Caenorhabditis elegans: one gene and its partners. The protein of the gene in region 1 interacts with the protein of each later gene in a pairwise test. Each region holds a gene or a part of one and is shown on either strand. Other genes may lie near its edges.

Evidence for each region. Proteins that work in one complex are often made in the same cells at the same time.
Region 2: the proteins of del-4 (region 1) and F58G6.7 interact in a two-hybrid assay, tested with the Caenorhabditis elegans proteins (one large-scale study listed by BioGRID).
Region 3: the proteins of del-4 (region 1) and T16G1.5 interact in a two-hybrid assay, tested with the Caenorhabditis elegans proteins (one large-scale study listed by BioGRID).

What each region holds. Positions count from the first base shown.
Region 1 is NC_003279.8:8,138,959-8,144,217, forward strand, and holds del-4 (Amiloride-sensitive sodium channel), read right to left. Parts: upstream 3,580-5,259; coding exon 3,473-3,579; intron 3,430-3,472; coding exon 3,324-3,429; intron 3,120-3,323; coding exon 3,018-3,119; intron 2,875-3,017; coding exon 2,743-2,874; intron 2,478-2,742; coding exon 2,401-2,477; intron 1,938-2,400; coding exon 1,738-1,937; intron 1,691-1,737; coding exon 1,412-1,690; intron 1,341-1,411; coding exon 1,259-1,340; intron 1,182-1,258; coding exon 1,124-1,181; intron 1,077-1,123; coding exon 927-1,076; intron 884-926; coding exon 710-883; intron 664-709; coding exon 547-663; 3' UTR 510-546; downstream 1-509.
Region 2 is NC_003282.8:9,652,629-9,656,131, reverse strand, and holds F58G6.7 (Copper transport protein), read right to left. Parts: upstream 1,816-3,503; 5' UTR 1,782-1,815; coding exon 1,590-1,781; intron 1,546-1,589; coding exon 1,454-1,545; intron 1,203-1,453; coding exon 1,066-1,202; intron 917-1,065; coding exon 837-916; 3' UTR 544-836; downstream 1-543. Other genes in the region: F58G6.3 (Copper transport protein), read right to left, coding at 1,961-2,138, 2,308-2,416, 2,469-2,586.
Region 3 is NC_003283.11:12,937,031-12,941,382, reverse strand, and holds T16G1.5 (CHK kinase-like domain-containing protein), read left to right. Parts: upstream 1-1,830; 5' UTR 1,831-2,086; coding exon 2,087-2,242; intron 2,243-2,295; coding exon 2,296-2,694; intron 2,695-2,738; coding exon 2,739-2,988; intron 2,989-3,086; coding exon 3,087-3,190; intron 3,191-3,238; coding exon 3,239-3,400; intron 3,401-3,447; coding exon 3,448-3,522; intron 3,523-3,567; coding exon 3,568-3,726; 3' UTR 3,727-3,809; downstream 3,810-4,352. Other genes in the region: T16G1.4 (CHK kinase-like domain-containing protein), read left to right, coding at 1-193, 240-489, 566-669, 715-876, 924-998, 1,040-1,171; T16G1.6 (CHK kinase-like domain-containing protein), read left to right, coding at 4,224-4,352.

The DNA of each region.
Region 1 (5,259 bases):
ATGGATTAAGAATTGGATTAGAGAATAATAGGGCTTACTTGGATATTGGGAAAAATAACTTTTAAGTGAGGTGTACGTTTTCTAATCAGATGATGGGAGATAAGTAATTTTTATTTAACAATATTATTTTTTTAAATCAATTTTCGTTGTTAATGAAAAATAAAACTACAAGAAAAACTATTTTTCAAAATAAAATAAAATTATTGATTTTTGTGGGATTTCCCTCAATAGTTTTTGATTCAATACTCGACTTTTTTAATATTAAAATGAATAGGAGGATAACCTTTCAGGAAAAAAGTGCCAAAATATACCTGTAAAACATATTGAATATTTTTCAAAATTTTAATTTAAGCCGCCATTCCTCTACGAATCTTCCACTGTTTGATGTAAACTCCTGTGCTAGCTTTCCAAACCCTTCCCCTGTCTGCCTCATTTGGCGTGACCTACCCCTGCCCTGCTCCGAAATTTCAGAAAAGTTTGCCTGGAAGGCATTTTTGTGTCTTAATATAAATCTTTTATTCAACGTTTCCCAAAATCGGCAGAATATCAATCATTAGAATGAGGCTTTGGTGGAACAATATCATGAGCTGTATCCATTTCGTAAAGTTCTGCATTTGCTTTTTGATGTTTCTTCCGCTTCTCTGCAACTTGATCCACATCATCCTTCAAATAATTAATTTGTAAAGGTGCAATACTATTAAAGTGCTACCTTAGCCTTTTTGATGTCCATTTCAAGTTGTTCAATTTCTGCTCTTCTAGATTTATGAGTACAACAATAGAAAAAGACAAGAAATATCAAAACAAGATATTCGATTGCAGATATAATACTCATTCCAAGGAACAAACCAACTTGACCGCCAACATCAGAAATGAAGTTTACAAACTGAAAATATTCCAATTTTTATGAGTTCCATTTTTAAACTTACCGTATACGCTGGTGACTCTGTAAGAACTTGGAAGTTCATTCGTTCATAATATATTTCAATGAGAATGGTGTTTGCTTTATACCAATCAAGACACGATTCTCCTGAAGCATCCCACGGACCAGATGGACCACCAGGATTGCATTCTGTTGGCTAGAAAAATTAATTTTTACAGAAATATTCAATATAAAAGCACGTACCACATATGAATCGGATGGCCATTGAGCAGTGGATACAGTTACACCATATGAATCGATTCTGAACCAAATAATATTATTTTGACAACTCATTTACAACTGCTGCCTGTTTTAATAAATATTTGAAACATAACCTACTCGCAAGGTTGAGGGCAATCACAATCGGTGAGCACATCGAATTCCGTTGAATCGGCACTATTGATCAAGTCAACACAGTTTACTGAAACATATAAATAATATAATAGGAAAATTGGTCAGATTTTTTTCAGTTAATGAGCAGATAAAACTTACAATTAGAAAGTGTCTGTACACCGTTATCACATGATACATACTGTGTTGTATTTGATGCATGGGAATAAGCAGGATAGTAACATCCACACGATGCAATAATCTTTTCCTGCATACAACTTCTAAAACATGCTTCAACAGTGTATGTTCCAGTATAATGAGTAGTTTTTAGTTTTGTTTTGGTTGTGCAGCTACCGTAAGGTTTACTAAGACGAGTAGTTTGAACATAACTAACACCAAGAGAGGAAGCAGTTCCCGGCGGTGCAAAGTAACCGAATACATCTGAAATAAGATCAAGAATACACTTCTAATGCAATTTGGCAGTTCACCAGGATACGGTATTTCATCCTGCATATGAATATCAATGATAACGCCTGAAGCTTCAGTCCATGGAAGATATGTATCTTGATCTGTTCTCATCACCATACGAAGACCATAAAGTGGTCCCGCGCGGGAAGAAGAATACATTCCATCAGTGTTAAATTGCAGACAATTTCCGTATGACGGGTTGTAAAAATCGTTAAAGTCACTGGAAAGTTAAGAATTATCTTTCAGAATTTTGTTTGAAACAAGGGTGCGCGGAAAATATAAAAATATATAGAAAATTTGCCCATATTATTAAAGTTTTACAATTAATAATTAATTTAAAATGATCACTGAAAATATTTGAATGAATTGAGTCTAATTATATTTATTGGTTTTTTCTTCTCAATAAATGATGATATAAATTGAAAAAATTGTTATTATTGTTGAAAAAGTTTTTAAAAAAGCGAAAGAGATTCTAAAAATTATGTTTGACAAATTACAACTTTAGATAAGTACAGGTTCATTTCTACTTTCCAATAATAATACTCATTATTTTCAAATCAACCACATATTTTCTAAATTTCTACGTTAAGTTTTAATTGCATTATATAAAGCTACACTATTTTATCAAAATAAGCAGATTGGTAGACGTAAAGAATTACTGCGAACACAAACTTTAAACGTACGTAATGTTGCATGTTTTTGCATTATACGTGCAACTAACAACCATGTCATCATATGAATATGCAATGTCTGCCGCATCCTGAAATTACTCACTTCCTTTGGTTTATCTTCAAAATCTCAAAGAAAAAGAAAGCAATCGATCATAAAACACACACAAGAACAATAAAATATTCTCCTAGTTTTTGGATTTTATGTCTTTTCCGAAATGATTATAAACCCCCAATTTCAATTTCGAACATTTATGTGCTTTTTTGAAGAAACTTGATTTATCGGTCGAAATTTTAGTTCCCGGTGCTCTTTGAGCATCGGAAATTCTGAAACATGTTCAACAAGCTTTGACCTACATTATACTGTTTTTCGTTAAGTCTTTCAGAATACATGAGAGTCCATTTACTAGCTTGTTGCTGCCTATCAGCTGTCAAAGAAGCTGGGAGTCCAAATTGAGCAGAGCTTGAATCAGAGTTGTAGGCGTCGATCTGGAAAACTGATGCTCTTCTGATAGGTAAGGGATATAAGACGTAGAGATGCAAATTAACGCGTTTTCTACAACTCCATCACTTTCACTTCAAAAATCAGTCCCTCAAAATCATTTAAAATGTTATTAAAGACTTTGGATTACCAGTGCACTCATATCCGGGTCCACACTTTTCGTTTCTGATAGTTTCCATGGATTTAAATGACAAATCGTGACGGTGGGAAATGTCCGTTCGGCAAATTGCAGCTGGAAATTTATGGGTAAAGTGTGAGAATGCAGGAGCAGTTTCCGTGAGATTTTCAGATGACTTTTTCTACAAATTTAAAAACTTCAAGATCAGTAAAATATTTAGAAAAAACCTAATTACGCTTTGCCCTGGTAGAATGTCTATTTTAATATCCCCTGTTCGCAAGAGATATATAGTTTTTGTAAGTTTTCTTTACAACAAACCGTAGTTTCCGTATTCACACTGAATGATAAATAGTTGGTAAGCAACGTGATGAATTGCCAAATAAAAAGTGCAATGGAAACAACGACGACAAGTATCCAGAATGCTCTGAAATCATTTATCATTCTGGGTCATTAATTTCCATGTCTACCTCAACCATCGAGCATTTGCCATTCCAATATGTGGAACTCCATGAGTTGATGTCCAACACGAAAAATCCGTGAAAACATACTTCAGGCCGGTCCAAAATACACCCATCTGCAATTTTATTTTAATTTATTTCCAATCAACCTTTGTCACAAGGCATTCCACGTCATAATTAAGGTAGAAAAATGCCACACCATCTTTAAACTGTGATCAAGTTCCCAAGGATATTTTGTTTTAAAAATCTTCTTTTCCAAATAGATTCCCAATTTCCTATTTTTGCCCATTAGAGAAATACAATACTTTGTATTCGTCGGTTTAAAGTCACATGGACAATGGGTAGGAAAAGTTTTAGAGTTCATTTCTGTTGTGCTAAAATGACCAAATATAATAGTGAAGCTTTTCAAATACATTTATAAATTTTATTATGCACTTACTCAGTTTTTTCCAGTTAGAATTTTTTCATCAAAACAAATTTAATATGTTTTAATTTTGTTTTCACTATTTGTATCTAAACATTGTAGGAGTCAAAAATTTGTCAATTTGCCAAAACTTTGACTGAAAGTTTTCAAAAACATATACAATTTTCGGTGAAAAATTTAAGTATTATTAGAAACCGCATCTGGTGGTATTTTGCCTTTGTTCCATCTAAAAATTATATTAATGATTTGAAGATAATTTGATAATATCAAAAACATTTTAATTGAACTACATACGTTTTGATTATTTTCTTTAAGTTTCTACTCACAAAGTGTACGTTTGAAAAAAACTGATACTATCTAGATTTCAACCATTCTCCGGAAAATTAATATATGTTTATTTGTCGTTTCTGATCAAACAGTTCTGTTTCTCGAGATGTGAGAATTCTATTTTTATTTTCAACCGTAACAATTTTCAAGAAGCCAAACTAGCAAATACTAATCATTTTGAAAGTCCAAAATATCATAACTCATACATATTTATCATATGATCTATGACATATCAACATTTAATTTATGACTTTTTCATTTAAGGCTTCTCTTTTCCTTCTATCTTTCAATCATCGATCATATGATAAAGCTAATATTTAAAGGCAATTCTAGCAAATATTTTGTGTAATTTGGTACTTACAGTTGAAAGCATTCCAAATTCCCTATCATAGTAGAAATCAGTTTATGATTTATCTGCCAAGTTAAAAAATCAAATTCCCAATTCAAAGTATTCCCTGAACAAGCACTAATTAGAGATACGAGGAACCCTTTCTTCCCTTCTTCAATTCTCATTAGGATATTTTAGATTCTGGAAATATGAGCATTTTGAGCTCCGTGAGCAGCACGGAATAGAGCATAATTATTTAATGATTTACGAGGTCCTAGCAGTAATATCTTACATTTCAGAATTGTATATAGCCAGCTTTTTTTGTTAAATCTTTCTGTTTCAACCAAAACTCTTGTGACTAAGCTCGTGATCTCGTTATTATACATTTTTATAATTCTTTCTTGAATTTTCGATTTTTTAATTTAGAAGATAAGAAAGGGTTTTTTGTTTCATAAGTTGTTCGTTTTTAAGTAGTACTTGGAAATCTTCAAGTGTAGATTTATTACTAGAAAGTCAGAAAACAAGATCTAAAATAAGAAATGTTAAAAATGTTGACAAGGAAGTAGTGTGGGTGGAGATTTATGATGTCTACATTTGGAATGGATCTCATATACTGTGTTCATTGGTGAAATAATTTTCTTTTTTCTTGGCGCCTTTGCTCCTCAAACTGTGATGTTAGAAAGCACTTCACCACTTCGAAACTATTTTTTAAATTTA
Region 2 (3,503 bases), on another chromosome or scaffold:
AAAGGGAGTGATCAGAAAAAGGGAGATTGCATAGAGAGAATAACAACGGAAAACTGAAAGCAAGTTAATTAGTTCGAGGATTTAAGTGCAACATCAATGCGTAGTTTTTCTTCAAACGTACACTTTTCAGGAAACGTAAAAAATTCGAAAAACTAATTTATTGTAGTTTCCGATAAACTTATGACTTCAAAATTTTGATTCGTTCTTACAATGTTTAACTACTAGAAAATCTATTATAGCTTTATATTTTCTTAAAACTAAAACTGATGTTCAGCTGAATTCAAAAGTGTTTATATGTCGAAGGGACACACTGACGTGACTGACGTAATTCTGTGAGAAGAGAGCCGTAATCAGAAGCTACGATGCTCCTCGGCCAACAAATTGAATTATTATTATATTGCATATGGCCAAAGGCAATGGAAGGAGGCAAAAGATTTTAAATTGAGAAAAGAGGGAGATGATACTTGTATGATTTGAGGGCATTTTTTGCAATCTTTAACACTCATAGAAAACTGCTCAAAGAGAGAAAAATTAATTGTTAACCAAAATTCAAACATTTATTTGAAATTTGTTGAAATTAAAATTTTTTAAACACAACATAAAAAAGTGTTTTTATCTGTCATACATATGAAAAAGTTCGATCTTTGAAGAGTGATGTTAAATATCAATCTAATAGTAAGAATGTTGAATGGCTAGACATAAATTAGATTACAAAGTGGCAGTAAAAGAAAGTTTTGCAAAGTGTATGTAGAAAGATAAAAACCGAATACATTACTTTCGTAATCCAATAAAAACCATTGATGATTGTGGATATTAAAAATACATAGAGCTAAAAATTATGAACAACAACTTCCAGCTGCTTCACTCTCCTCCACAGTCATCATGGGTCCTAGGAAGAAATATCCGGTGGTATGACCTGAAAAATTACTGTTTCAGAATATCCTTATTATAATTATCTTCAGGCGAAAAACTTATGAGCAATTTGAAATCTTGAAAGACTGATTTTCAAAAATGTATTTGTACTCTAACGTACGCATTTTTTTTAGCCAGCAGGTATTACATTACCTGCAAGCAAGGAGAGAAATATTGGCCAATTGTAAGTCATTGAAACCAGCATAAGAGAGTAATCAATGAAATGTTGCACAAATACAAGAAGTGAAGAAGCCATGTGAAATTTTGAAATTAAGGAGTCACGGGTGAATCTGGAAGAATTGAAAATAATTCACTTGTTATGAAACAGTAAACAAAGTTTAGTTATAAAAAACATATTTAGAAGCTTTTCATTGTAGAGGTATTAATTTTAATTTTAAAACATGTAGAGGTAGTTGAAAAAGAAAATTTCAGCTCAAAAAGAGTTTTTTAAAAGTTTACAGTTTAGGAAAATGTTACTCGTGAATATTTTTTTAAACAAAAGGCATGCATCTCTCATACAATGATGCAGCAAATAACTAACGGTGCCAAAGTGACAGTTTTTTGTGTCAAAGGAATTGTTTCTGGAATATTCCATAATCCATCTTTTTCTGTTGAACAGCAGCAATCTACTTTCTGAAAATTCGTGCATTATAACCATATTAATTATTAAAACTCACCTTTTCCACAATCTTAACTTTTGGAGAGAGTTTTGTTCTTCCAAATTTCAAAGCTTCTAAACAAAAAGCAATTAAAAAAATTTCAATGCATGAAAATACATAAGCAGTGGTGTTCAGTGGTTTCCATTCGCGAAAAAGAATGGGCTCCTCAATTCGAAAATGAAAATACATTTCCATCATCATGTGCATCATTTTGAGTACAATATATTTGAAGTTAAAAGAATATCTGGAAGAGTAGGTGAATAAGGAACGCATTTCAAAATCAGAGGTAAACCAATATTGTCAGTAACAAAGAAACACTCAGAATAAATGATCAAAAATTGTTGATAACATTTATATGAAATTCTAGAAATGAAATTAAAAAATAAAAACTATTCACTCCTTCCTCCAAAAATTAAAAATCCAATAGACAAGCCAATAACAACAGCTAATCCCAACCAAATTGAAAACGTCATGAAAATGAGCATAAGACAATAACTGAAACCGAGTTGAACAAAAAATAAGAATGTTTGAAAAAAGTGCATTGTGGAGAGCAGGCGGGAAATGTAGCTGCAAATATTAAAGAATTGTACAAGCCGTTTTTTCAAAATTCAAATTTTGGGTAATTTCGAATCGGAAAATGAAATGTTTTTTTTAAGTTTAAAAATATTCAAAACATGGAACTGCCAATTGTATAATTTTCAGTATTTTTTGTTTCGGAAAATGTTTATCAGCTAACCTTTCTTTTTTGCTTGGTGATTGTCGTTTTTGAATTAGTCTTCTGTTATACTTAATTGCTTCCAAGATAATTCCAGCAATTGCAACGAGTATACACGCCCAAACCATTTCTAAAATTTAGTTATTCAATGTATCTTCAAAGCAAGGAATTTTCACTCATACTTCCAGCACTAGTAATATTCCACGTGGAAAAAAGAACAGTGTCTTGTGGTTTTGTATGAAACCACATCCACATGAAAGGTCCTTGATTCATGTCCATATCCATTGAATTATGATTCATTGTTGGTATCTGCAATAAGTTAAACAATCATAAAACAATAAAAATTTGAAAAGTAAAAATAATGTGTATTAATATTTTGAGACCAAACCAAGTGAACAATGATTGACTGAGACGAAGCAAAATGATAAAGAAACTCGAAAAGCCGGGAAATGATAAGATTCTTTGGGTGCAAGTATGGGAAGACATTCAAGTCAGGATTGGATAAGAGATACCGTAGTCACCACAGTTAAACTACCGTATTTCTTCTATTAATATGGCTGTAATACTATTTTTCGATGGTCTTCCCGCTTGCAATACTAATAGGGAGTGTAAGACTATTAGGGAGTGCAATACTAATTTTCCGAACATTTTTCTGACTTTGAGCTTACTAGTTTTTTTTTCTGAAAAAGCTCGAATCTTATGTAAAAATTCAGAATATTTGATTTTAATTGTAACATATAAGTTCAAAAACTTCAATCTCGTAGAAATATTGTGAAAAACTGTTGCAAAATAGGCAAAATTTTTTGTTGAAATCCTGAAATTAACGAGACGGGCCTGCAATAAAAAAAAGTAAACGCAAGACTATTAGGGAGTGCCATACTAATTTTCGGAAGGTCTCCGAGGGGCAACACTAATAGGGAGTGCAAGTCTAATAGGGAGGCCATATTAATAGGAGATATACGGTATAAAATTCGTAACACTAATAGGACAAAAAGCCACTTTTAGGACAAAATTTCAAATTGGCCTCCTGGGGAGCCATCGATAGGAGATAATTGGTCTCCTTGCCAAACTCGGTAATTTCACCAATGTGTGAATTTTGTACAGTTTTTCCATACTTCCACAGTGAAACGCAGTCTCATTGAAGAACAGCAGGTAAACCTTATTAAATTTTAATGTCTGGTTTTCAATACTGCTGAACTTTTTAATAAAATTGTAAC
Region 3 (4,352 bases), on another chromosome or scaffold:
TAACAGAGAAGTTAATTTGTATAAAATTACGAAGAAATGGAATAAGAATGATGAGTTGTTAAGTCCAAAGATTTATTTTTACAAAAAGTTTGATTCTGAGAACCAAACAAAAGGAATATTGGGCATGGAAGCTGTTGATGATGTAACTGTAAGACATCTCTATTACAATGTAAAACCATTTGAGCTGCACTCTGTAAGTTTTAAATCAGATTATCAAGTAAAACTCAATTTATTTACAGGTATTAAAATCGATTGCCAGACTTCAAGCGGAAAGTCTTCATTTGACTGATCAGGAAAAACAAAGTATTGCTGGATTTGATTTGAAGAAGATGTCAAACACAATATTCAGTGAAGAAGGCATGCAAAATAATTTTAAGCAGACTCGTGAAATCAATCCGGAACGATTAAAAGAAAGCGTCGACAAAGTTGAGATTTATGGAACTGAGCTCGTAGATTTGGATAAAGCTATTAACCTAAACAGTTACATTGGTGAGTTTTCTTTCACAAATTTGGATATATTTTACCTATCAGTGAAAACTATTGAGAGATAAGATCTTTATGTCAGGTATCGAACGTGATGTCTTGGTGCACGGAGATCTGTGGTCAGCGAATATTCTATGGGAAGAGAATGAGGGAAAATTTTTAGTAAGCAAAGTTATAGATTACCAGGTAAGTCCCCAAAAAGTTGTGTTTTTTATCTCTGTAATATTGCAGCTCATTCACATGGGAAACCCAGCTGAAGATTTGGTAAGACTTCTTCTTTGTACACTTTCTGGAGCAGATCGTCAAGCACACTGGGAAAGGCTTTTGGAGCAATTCTACGAGTATTTCTTGGAAGCTCTTCAGGACAACGAGACGCCATATTCACTGGAGCAAGTAAATGTTTTGTAGTTCATGGTATTTGAACAATGTTCTAGTTTTAGTTAAAAGAATCCTACCGTCAATATTTTGTTACTGCTGGTCTCTTTATGTTGCCCATGTTTGGACCGATTGCACAGGTATTGTCTGTAACGTATATGAGAAAGTTAATTGATTTCAGATGAAACTTTCTTATTCATCCGACAACGAACACGCAGAAGAGTATCGTGAAGTTCTCACAGAAAAAGCTGAACGGCTAATGGAAGATTTGGAACGTTGGCACTTGCACAGTAAAAACTTTAAGCAAATCTAAAATAGAAGTGTAAATGAAATTTCTATGTAAATATTATATAAGTTGAGCCAAATAAACCGTTTGTTGTAAATAATATTTACAAGATATACAGATGTATAAAAAATAATAATGGCAGGTAAATTTACAAACCAAAAACGAATAGTTGTATTAATAAGTTCCAATAAGGCGCAATAAATATTCTAGCTATTAACACTCCGGCAGTATTATTTTAAATATCTATTTTTCTTTAGACATAGCCTAAATCAAATAATTCGCCTCAAATATCCAAATATCAATTAGTTACACAAAAGATAGAAAACTTATTTGACCAAATAGCGTTGTTTTTAGAAATAGAAAAAAAATAATAATGTTTTGTAAATCCACATCTAACTCAGATAAAATTTAGTTAACTTCCCCGAAAACTTTATTGCACATTATAGGGGTCCAATATTCAATAAATTTAGAAAAACAACTATTTTAATAAACTGTACCAAAGTTCATAGCAATGCATTGAAAATCAAGGGAAAAATATAAAATAACGGAAAAAAGTAAACTCTAGTATTGCACAACTTTTTGTAATTTCACATAATGTGGTTTGTGTTGACGATCAATCGTGCGTAATCTATGAAATTGCGTCACTAAGTAAGTAAAGAAAAACAATGGAACACTCCCATTTTCACTTGATTGAGGTGATTCTATATAAACAAAAATTACCAATGCAAAATTATAATGCTTTCTAGACGATCTATTTAAATAATTTGAATATATTTTTTTAAATTCTATCTCAATTTACAACACTAGTCTCAATTTGATATTTTCTGACTATTTTGTGTAGTGAAAAAAACGATAGGCTGCTCGCCGGTATTAAATTGATAGCCATTTGTTGCATGATACTGATTCAGTCTTATTTTTTGATTCAAACTGAAACAAAAAACTATGAGCGAAAAGAAACCTTCAATCATCGATAATGGAGATGGATTGTTTGAAACTCATGTCAAGTTGGAAGATATTCAAATTCTAATTAAAGAACAGATGAATACTGATTCAAAGCTTGGAGAGAAGACCAAATTAACAGTGGTGGGAGATGGAAATGTATGTTCTTATTTGTTGTAGCTGTTCTTCTTTTGCTAAATATTTAATTTTAGGGATTCATGAGTCGTGTGGTACTTGTGGAAGCAGATTGGACTATTCCTAACGAGAACCTTCCAGAAAAAATCATATTAAAACTGACATCTTGTATCAATGTTCACCACCTTGTTTCACAGATGAAAGAGAAAAACCCAGATGCATTCACTGAACAACAAGAAGCTGAATTATGGGCCATGTTCGAAAGAGAAGCTCAGAATGTGCACAATCGAGAAGTCAATCTCTATAGGATAACTGAGAAATGGAACAAGAATGACGCGCTGTTGAGTCCAAAGATTTATTTCTACAAGAAATTCGACTGTGAAAACAAGACTCAGGGAGTTTTGGGAATGGAGTATGTGGATGATGCTGTTGTTAGGCATCTCTATTGTAATGCAAAACCACACGAGTTGCATCCAGTTAGTTTGAATGATTTAAACCATAAATTAAGCACAGCATTCAGATTTTACAATCATTGGCAACACTTCAAGCGGGAAGTCTTCATTTAACGGAAGATGAAATCAATAGTATTTCTGGATATGATTTTAAATCAATGGTTGGAAGAATGATGAGTGAAGAAGGAATGAAGCAAATGTACACTCGAGCACGTCAAATTAATCCGGAACGTCTGACAAAACCTACAGATGCAGTCGAAGCATTAGGAATGGATATCGTCAACTTTGAGATTTCATGTCATGTGAACAAGTACGCTGGTGAGTTCTGGTTTTTAATTTATGAGAATCAATCAAATCATAACTTAAATAATTAAACAATTATTTCCTTGTTTGTAAATATAATTTGGAAATTTTAGGCATTCAAAAAAATGTTCTGGTTCATGGAGATTTATGGGCAGCCAATATTTTGTGGAAAGAGAATGATGGAAACTGTGTAGCCAGCAAAGTTATTGATTATCAGGTAATAAATTAATAAATTATGAAAAACATTTTTTTATAATCGTTTTAGCTCATCCACATGGGAAATCCAGCAGAAGATCTTGTTCGTGTGTTTCTTTCCACGCTCTCTGGTGCTGACAGACAGGCTCACTGGGAGAAACTTTTAGAACAATTCTACGAGTATTTCTTGGAGGCGCTTGAAGGTAATGAGGCTCCTTACACACTCGATCAGGTAATAATACTAGTTTCCTTTATCAATACTGATTAATTTACTTCCAGTTAAAAGAGTCATATCGGTTATATTTTGTTGGTGGTGGTCTTTTTGTGATGCCACTGTTTGGCCCTGTTGCTCAGGTAGTCAATACGTACAAGTATTCTCTAATAGTTAATTAATTACAGGCTAAACTTTCGTATTCGACTGATAATGAGAACGTGGAGGAGTATCGTGAGGTTCTCACTGAAAAAGCTGAACGTCTCATGGAAGACTTAAAGCGATGGCACTTGTACAGTAAAGATGTGACAAAGGATTTAGAAACGGCGGAAAAGTTGACTTTATGATAAGAATACCGATAAAATTATGAAATTTCTCGAAACTTTTGAATTGTGAAGCAACTTCTTAATAAAGTAACTCATTGACTTTAATTTTTAAACCACGGCTTAGAGAAAATTAAAAATCAAACACTGCAGCTTTTTTGATGCGAAAATTCATTGATATGGAACAAACCTCAAATTTGATAAATAATACAATAATTTGTCAAGAAATCACAAAAACGTTCTTTTGAAATGCAAGTTATAAGACATACGCAAGATGTTATGTCGGTGGCTGGTTTTAACTATAAAATACGAAACAATTGACCTCCTGACACAAAATTTCCGAGCTTGATTTGTCTGATATCATTTGTGCTTTGGAATTATTGTTTCATGTGCATAAAATCTACACTGTGTTCATTCACGATAAGAAGAATTTCAGACAGAAACCACAGGAGGTTCATCGATATAAAATGCTAATCATTTGATTTAAAGAACCATACTCTTTTTACTCTCGTCGTTAAGAAATGACTGCAGAAAAATTAACGATTCTCGATAATGGAGAAGGTTTATTTCAAACACACGTTTATGTGAAAGATGTTCAAGAAGCTATTGGAGAACAGATGAACACTGAGTCAAGACTCGGAGAAAATACC